2 linked regions of the Nothobranchius furzeri genome follow. The protein of the gene in region 1 purifies or fractionates together with the protein of each later gene. This does not show direct contact. Links are inferred from orthologs where the notes say so. Each region holds a gene or a part of one and is shown in the gene's direction. Other genes may lie near its edges.

Region 1 (4,553 bases):
CGATGGCTAATTCAAATTCAAATGTAGTGCAGATTTTTAACCTGAAGAAGGCGGGTTTTAGGCAGAATATTTATATTTGAAATGAGATGCACTAAAGTGCCAAGAATAATGACTACACACGTCAACTAGACACTCTTAACAAAAATGTTGATTTGGGAATAGGGGTGACATGCTCTTAAATGCTGAGAGATAATCATTTCCAGGTAAATTAATTTTGTTTAGCCTACAAGCTGCAGGATTTACATGTTAAAAAAACATTTGCTTCAGTACCCATGTAATAGCTTACTGGAACATCGTTGTCAATTACCTAAACGAGAAAGGTTAGGATCTTGTCAGCCACATATAGGATAAACAAAGTGAATTTAAATGATTTTTTTTAAAACCAATTCAAATTTTTTTGCAACGTTTTGAGAAAAATACTGATATAAGTGGCTCTCTGTGTGATGAACTCCCTGAAGATAAGTTTTGTCTTTTAGTTGGGCCCTATATCCCTCATTTTCTTTAGAACATACATCGTTTCACTCACCATCCACCTGGGATAGCCAGTCTATGGGGATAGCTTATATAGCCAATTGGCATATTCAAAATTGTTTTGATAATGAGGTAAAACAATATAAAACGACATAGGCACATAGCAACTCGTTTTTTACAAACCTTTACTTAAAATCAGAACATTACAAAAATTACAAATAACATCAAAAAGAACACACATTTTACAACTCACAGTATCAGGGGGTTCATAATACGACCAGCCAGCAGAGATACACCACTGGGTGTCGCTGTCGGATGACGTCAACAGCTAACAGGCTAAAAGCCCAATAAGTACAGGAAGCTCTCGCCGGGTGCGGTGGCGCGTGCCTGTAATCCAAGCTACTGGGAGGTTTAGGCTGGCGGATCGTTTGAGCTCAGGAGTTCTGAGCTGCAGTGGACTATGTCGATCGGGTGTCCGCACTAAGTTCGGTATCGATATGGTGCTTCTGGGGAAGCCCGGGACCACCAGGTCGTCTAAGGAGGGGTGCACCGGCCCAGGTCGGAAACGGAGCAGGTCAAAGCCCCCGTGCCGCTCAGTAGTGGGATCGCGCCTGTGAATAGACACTGTAGTGCAGCCTGAGTAATACAGCGGGACTCAGTCTTTTACAAGCTTTTGTGTTAGATAGGTTATTTTACTCGCTTTCCAGATGCTGCTTTTGCACATTTTACTGCAGTTTAAGCGTTGATTCTCCCCCGCTTCTCTATTGAAAACTGCAGCTGTGTGGCTGTGACACACCGCCCCCTTCTGGAAAATACGCGACCACCAATCACATCAGCTACCCTCACAGTAGAAGTGAGCGTTGCTTCTCAACAATTACACATAAAAACAGACTTTGTTATGAGATCAACTGATGTGCTTTATGAACATGAGCAAAGAAAAAGTGAATGAAAACAGTCCCATGAGCAGCGTGACGTCAAGTGCAAAGGGAAACTGGTGTAACGCATCGTTGTCTCCACAAGAGGGCGCTAACAAATCACTCGAGAACAACAACAAAAAAAAAAAAAGCAACGACAGATCTACTTCCTGTTTCAGTGATGTACTTCCTGTTTCGTGATGTCCATGTGGTAAACAAGCGTCCCGGGTTACACCAACATGGACTTTTCAGCTAAGTGGAGTAATGTACCGACAGGACCGAGTCTAAAGAACCTGACCGATGGAGAATTCGGTAAACTGAAAGAGACGCAACACGCCGCCGTTCAGGACCTGACTAAAGCCCACATCGAGTCGTTTGATCAGGCTGTCACTGATGGACTCAACCGCCTTGTGCAGGTCAGTGAGAAAGTCAGGTTTACAATTATTTTTTCACTTTAATAATTTAAAACATCATAAATACTCCAGCAGGGATATGAGAAATGACTAAATACTACTCCTGGTTAATTTCCTCCTCTCGTTGCCCTCTTTGACTTTAACATGTTTAATCCACGTGTGTCAGATCTGGTAGACATATATCATACATGTGTCTCTAACGGCAATAAAAAACCTTTATTTAAAACGGAAACAATGAACAGTTAATTACGAAATAAAATGTAGTAAATAAATGTAATCGCTAATTTGGACCAGTTACTTTTTATGAATGAAATGTTTTCATTTCAAACTTTTCAAATTAAAAGCATGACTTCTGACCACCTGAATGAATATCTGTATTACAGTGAAAACACATAAAAAATTAGATGCAGCCCCCTTGAGTGTTCAGAAAAAAACAAAAGGATATGAAGTGTGTGTGGGGGTGGGGGGGTACACGGAGTCAATTTAGAACATAAAATTCGAGACTACAGGCTGAAATCGTATTGCACAGAAAAGTAAAATGACAAAATTGGCCAATAACATGTTTTAAAATTTAAAATTTATCATTTCTACTTCATATATCAGAAAAGGGTCAAACCTTTACTCAGCAGTAGAGCAGAAGCTTCACTAACTATTAAAGGCTGTAGATGAGGTTATTATTATTGTTATTATTTTCCTTTGGGGTCATGTTGATTTTTGGGATCGTCTGGTTGCTTTTTGGACAGTTTTTGTTTGATGTTTTCCAGGCGATTCCTCCGATAGAGTTCATGTGCAGAAATGAAAAGTTGAGCCTCACGTTCGTTGATGCAACCATCCAGAACCCGCTGGTCGCCAAAGGCAGCATCTGCACAGAGATGAAGGTGTTTCCAGCAGAATGCAGAGGAAGGAGGAGTACTTACCGAGGAAAAGTGGTGGTAAGCTAGGCTAACTCTCTCACCTCCCTGTTGGAATGAAGAAGAAAATTTCATTTCTATAGCGCCTCTCAAGATAAAAATCACGAGGCGCTTCACAAAAACAAAAAATGTAAAAATATAAAAAAGCATTTAGAAAATGTTTAAAAATACATTTAAAATGAGCAAAAATAGGCAATTGTGATTAAAAAAAATTTAATAAAGAGAGAGAGTTAATAGGAAAGAGGGAAATCAGTGGCTGGAGGAGAAGGGGGGTGATGTGGGTGTGTTTGGAGGACTTGGTCAGAAGCCGAGCACAGGCACTCTGAACCACCTGTAGATGGTTCAGGGAGGTTCTGGTCAGACACGTGAAAAGAGAGTTACAGTAGTCTAAGCGTGAGGAGATGAAGGTGTGGAGAACTGTCTCAAGTTCAGAGCGGGACAGAATGGGACTCAGTTTAGCAATGTTCCTGAGATGGAAGAAGGAAGAGCCAACAAGAGAACTGACATGAGAATCCAGGGTGAGAGCTGGGTCAAAGGTCACGCCAAGATTCCTGACAGAAGTTTTGGTGTGGGAAGCAAGCTGACCAAGAGAGTCTCTGACTTTGGGAACCAGCTTGTCTGGGGCACAGATGAGGATCTCAGTCTTATCTTCATTCAGCTGAAGAAAACTCCCAGCCATCCAGGTTTTGATAGAGTCTAAGCAGGTGTGTAACAGCTGCAGCTTAGACATCTCATGGGGCTTAAAGGAGATGTACAGTTGGATGTCATCTGCATAAAGATGGTAGGAGATTCCTTTGAAGGAGCTCAGGATGTGCTGAAGAGGAAGCAGATAGAGGAGGAAGAGCAGAGGCCCCAGCACAGAACCTTGTGGGACACCATGGGTAAGAGAGGTGGTGGAGGACCTAAACTTGGAGACGGCCACAGAAAAGAAACGCTCAGAAAGAAAAGAGGAGTACCACTCCAGAGCAGTTCCTGATAGGCCTACCCAGTCTCTCAGCCTCTCCAGTAGCAGGTGATGGTCAACAGTGTCAAAGGCTGCAGTCAGGTCCAGCAGGACCAGAACAGAACCGTCCCCTGCATCACTGTGAGTCAGAAGGTCATTAGAGACCCTAAGAAGAGCTGTTTCAGTAGAATGAGCTCTACGAAAACCTGACTGGAAGCTATCATAGATGTTCTGTTCATCAAGAGCAGCTGTGAGGTAGCAGGTTTTGTAGTGAGGCGTGTGACGATGTGTCATCTCAGGCAGACGTCAGCTGGTCCATCAACGGCTTTCCCAAAGGCATCATTAAGCAGTCCCTGGGCCAGGTGCCGATCATGGTGAAGTCAAAGCTGTGTAACCTCTACGGCATGTCCCCCAAGGAGCTCGTAAAGCATCACGAAGAAGCAGAGGTGAGCCGAGCTGACGCGACTCCTCCTGTTATTGGATGTCGTCTAAACGCTGGTTAATTGAACAGGAAATGGGAGGTTACTTCATCGTGAACGGAATCGAGAAGGTGATCCGGATGCTGATAATGCCGAGGAGGAACTATCCCATCGCCATGTCGAGACCCAAGTGGAAGAGCAGGGGTCAGGGCTACACCCAGTTTGGTGAGTAGACACTGAGAGGAGCTTCAGCTCGTTGTTCTGTGCTGATTCCTTTCTTTCGTGAAGGTATTTCTATGCGTTGTGTGAAGGAGGAGCACACAGCCATCAACATGAACCTCCATTACCTGGAAAATGGGACAGTGATGCTGAACTTCATCTACCAGAAGGAGCTCTTCTTCCTCCCTTTAGGTTTTGCTCTGAAGGTATCAGTTTACGAGCTTTGAAGCGTGACCTGGTGTCGTTCTGTGTTAGTTCACCGT
Region 2 (4,064 bases), on another chromosome or scaffold:
CTGCAGAAGCGGAGGCGCGAGAGGACAGGACAGAAGAGGCGACAGCATCAACCCCGCTCGCTGACACAGCTCATGCAGGAGATGGATGTCTCCAGATGTGATGGATGTTTTACCTTCTTCCGGCGGCTCCTCCGCGCCGTCCACTCGGGCCCCAAAGCGGGGAGCAATTATCAGCTGCGGGGCGTCGATCACGCATTCGCCGCAACCGACGGAGAGCTCCGCAAGCCCGCAAGAAAACGCCCCCGTACCGTTGGCGCCGCTGATCCCGCCCACCGCTGCCAATCAAAAGGTGATGGGAGGAGTCTACGGAGCTGAGTTTAGAGGTGGCTTACACCGACCGCCTGTTCAAAAACAGGATCAGAACAAAAATTAGAATAGAATAGAATAGAATAGAATAGAATAGAATAGAATAGAATAGAATAGAATAGAAAAAAACAGAACAAATATATACTTAATTATCTGCCTCAAAAGTATTCTTACAGTGCTGGGTGAAGTGTATTACCCACAAGTCATTGCTGCAGGAGAAAGGGTTCAAGTTCCTTTTCTGAATATTTTCTAATGGAATGAGTTAGTTTTGGGACAATCAGTTGATGCTCTGAATGTTTTAGACAAAGCAGCAATTAATTAAAATTTATTTCAAATAATGGGTTGTTTGTTTAAAAGTTGTTAATAAAGGCTTTTGAAAAAGTATCACAGGACCAGCATCTCGGCATGCGTTGCGTTTCATGACGCAATGCTCCCTGTCTCACTTCAGCAATTATTTGCACAGTTGTAGTCCACGCACTCGAAGCCTTACTGCACACTTTCTCCAAGTGCACTTTGCTGAAGACTGCAGGGCGCAATGCGAGTATTGGCACTGGGCCTGCTTGTGATGTCACAATTGGGGACAATTTCAAATAGCTTGTTTTAGGCACAACATTTCTACAACCACACATTGGCATGTTTGGAGCGTTTATAGAGGCAGAGTGCACATGGCGGCACAAAAAGGATGCAAAAGGCATAATATGTCTTCTTTAAGAAGATTACTTCTAAATAAAAATGTTTGTTATTGTCCTTTAATGTATCACAATCTAGATTACTAAAATATCTTGCTTGATGATATTCTGTAACTATCACTTTACTTTTGATTAAGCCATTGTATGTATTTAAATTATTTTTACAATTTACCAAAGAATTAAGTTGGCTTAGTTCCCAATGGAAAATGTTTAATCAAATAAAAAATGTACAAGTTTAAATGTCACATTTTACGTTTCGATTTGAGTATAAATCCTTTTTTTTAACAAAGTGTGTTTATATATTTGTTTGATTCTATGTTTGTTTTAAAGTTATTTGTGGCCAAATGTTGCTAAAACAATCAGCTGTAAATGTTTTTCCAGGGGTGCCCCATAACTTATTGAACTTTTAAAAATATCAATTATTTTAATTAAAAAAGATCAATACATAATACACAAACATATCTACTTGTAAATAAAAAATGTAGTTTGGTTTCATAACTTATTTTCAACATGATTTTGCAACTGAACAGGCATTGCTCCGGGCAGCTAAAAACAGGGTCCGCGATTGAAGGACCTCTCGGCGAAGTGAACAAGAAATGCCTCGTAAATTAACGTAAATTTATAGGTTTTATTAGGTTTTTATTTATTTGTAAGAGTTTTTGTGTGATTAAGACGCAATGGCGGAAGAAAATGAGCTAGAAAAGTGAGTAAATGTATCTTTATTAACTTCCGTCTGAACACATTTGCAGACATTTTCCCTCTAAAATGTAACGCTGCGGAAAAACAGTCTGTTAGTAGTTCTGATCTGAGTTGTTTACTGTATTTAAAGTTGACTTGTTGACTCTAGCTGCCTGTTGTGTGTAGTTTCAGGTCGGCATAAGTAGCGAGTCCAATCTGGTGATGAGACTCATTTCGGGTCAAACAAGGACACGTCCGCTTTACTTTCATCTTATATTTCTTGTACATCTGCTCAGAATTTCTGTCCTGTTTGTCTCATGACTCATTCTCCTGGTTCTGGGTCCGGTTCCGTCTAGGCGCGCCGTGGAGGAGCTCCTGAGGGAGACTGACAGAGCCCGGGTGAGAGCAGAGACCATGGGTCCTGCAGGATGGTGAGCTCTGAAATATCTCTGACCCTCTCATGTGGATTGGCTTTCTTTCTTTTCTTTTTTCTTTTTGGATAATTACTTAGTGTCTAGTATTATTTTAAATATTAGATTATTTTGCTCATGTTCTCATTAAACCATCTGAACACACCACGTGTCTTCCTAAAAATGTTAGTTTTGCACTAAAAGTTATCTTATCTGTTGGTATTTTAATTTGAGGTCTTATATCATATATATACATTAAAGGTTTTTTTGGGGCATTTCAATCGTATGTGTGAAAATTTCTTATTTAGCCTCTTTATTCTATAGTTAAAGGGATAAAACACCCACAAAAGTCATGTTGCTGAAGTCTGATTGAATCTGTGAAATTAAATTTCTTCTTTCGGCATCAACTGCTGGATTTTTCTGGATCTGTGTCTGATGTTTGTGGATTTTTCTCCAGGTTGAAGTGTCCTCTACAGAGCACCAACAAACGCTTCTTACTCAACACCCTGCGCTCCACGGGCCTGCACCGGCGCACAGAGGAACCCCAAGCCAAATGTTCCTCCACAAGAGGACGCCTTCGGAGCGAGTCCCCGGACAGACAGCGTGACCGCAGCAGAACGCCTCCGCCTGATCACAGGAATACTGGCGGCCCCTCGGATCATAAACGTCCTCACATGGACCGCCGCACAAGTCGAGATAAGAGGCCGGACAGAGATAAGGACAGACGCAGCAGACACCAAGACGACAGAGACCGGAAACATGCCGATGGACAGAAAAGAGACAAAAAAAGACGGATTCAGACTTCATGAATGGACCGGCTTTGTTTTTAGTCTCAGGAGCTCATAACCGACTGAGAGGTGCTGCTGTTTGCTTTGTGTTTAAAAGAGAAAAACTTTATTTAAAATATCATTTTACAGAGAAATAGAGTGAGTTTTGTCTCTTTGGACGTACTGGTAGATTATTTTCTTTTTTCCCAATAAAATGCAACAGAATGAGGTCAAACAGTCTCTCTCGTGACTCATGATGAGGTGTAACCGTGTTCGTCACAGGAGGGGGACCTAATCTCTATTATAACGCCATTACTATTCATCACGTGTCATGATGTTTACATAGGCCACGCTGCTGTCGCCACAGAGTAAGCATGTTTTATCATTTTTTGACATGCCGTCAAAAACTGGTTTGTTACTCAATGAAAAAGCTAAAAAACATTTCATTTATTTTGTTTCAGGAACAATCTGTTGATTTTGTGTGATTGTCCTCACTTTGAGATGGCAGATGGCCATTAAATCTTTCCATTTTTTCTGACTCCACTGTCTTTTATTATTTCTACAACTTTACAGGGACGAAAGTGTCTGATTCTGATTGCCTCCCTTCTTAACGGGCAACACGCCTCATAAATCACATATGGAACAGCCTGGGTTAACAATTTCCTTCCTCTTTACAACAATGATCAAATATAAAGGCCATTAGGCCATATTGCAGGGGGGTGTTTTGCATAGAAATGGCTCACCTGGACTTTATTGCACCGTTGAGTGCTGCCATTAAGATTCATTGGAAAGTGCTATAATTGCTTTTGAAGATCTGAGTGCAAATAGTCTATCGAAGCTGCGCAGACTATCAAAATAAAAGCCGGCTCGTCCCGCGTGACAAACATGCGTCTGAAAGTCGTGCGTAAAAGGCCGTGGAGACGCGCGCTCCAAACGCGCACGGCGGTTAATTGAGTTCAGTTGGTCTCTTCATGATAATTGACTAACCAAGAGGGCTATTGTTAAATGGGGCGAGGACACACAAAGATTAATGGCCAGCAAACACGAGGAGAGTGCAGCAGAGTTGTGTTTGTCGTCGCCAAGGTTTTTTTTATCGTCTGAGGCAGCGCGCGCAAAAATGGTGTTAAATGATGCATTTAGAAAAGTGTAATGGACAGATTTAAACGTCAGAAAGAGCTGGACTAAAATAAAAGGCTGTGGAAACTAAGGTGTGT

Evidence for each region.
Region 2: the proteins of polr1b (region 1) and si:ch211-140b10.6 purify together in Homo sapiens (affinity purification with mass spectrometry; 5 studies listed by BioGRID and IntAct, with this or other methods). This does not show direct contact. The link is inferred for Nothobranchius furzeri from reciprocal best matches to the Homo sapiens genes POLR1B and POLR1D.

What each region holds. Positions count from the first base shown.
Region 1 is NC_091752.1:7,757,308-7,761,860, forward strand, and holds the start of polr1b (DNA-directed RNA polymerase I subunit RPA2), read left to right. Parts: upstream 1-1,553; 5' UTR 1,554-1,624; coding exon 1,625-1,801; intron 1,802-2,562; coding exon 2,563-2,730; intron 2,731-3,951; coding exon 3,952-4,098; intron 4,099-4,163; coding exon 4,164-4,296; intron 4,297-4,359; coding exon 4,360-4,496; intron 4,497-4,553. UniProt on the Homo sapiens protein: Catalytic core component of RNA polymerase I (Pol I), a DNA-dependent RNA polymerase which synthesizes ribosomal RNA precursors using the four ribonucleoside triphosphates as substrates.
Region 2 is NC_091747.1:51,105,983-51,110,046, forward strand, and holds si:ch211-140b10.6 (protein POLR1D), read left to right. Parts: upstream 1-1,527; 5' UTR 1,528-1,672; coding exon 1,673-1,698; intron 1,699-2,029; coding exon 2,030-2,104; intron 2,105-2,540; coding exon 2,541-2,892; 3' UTR 2,893-3,388; downstream 3,389-4,064.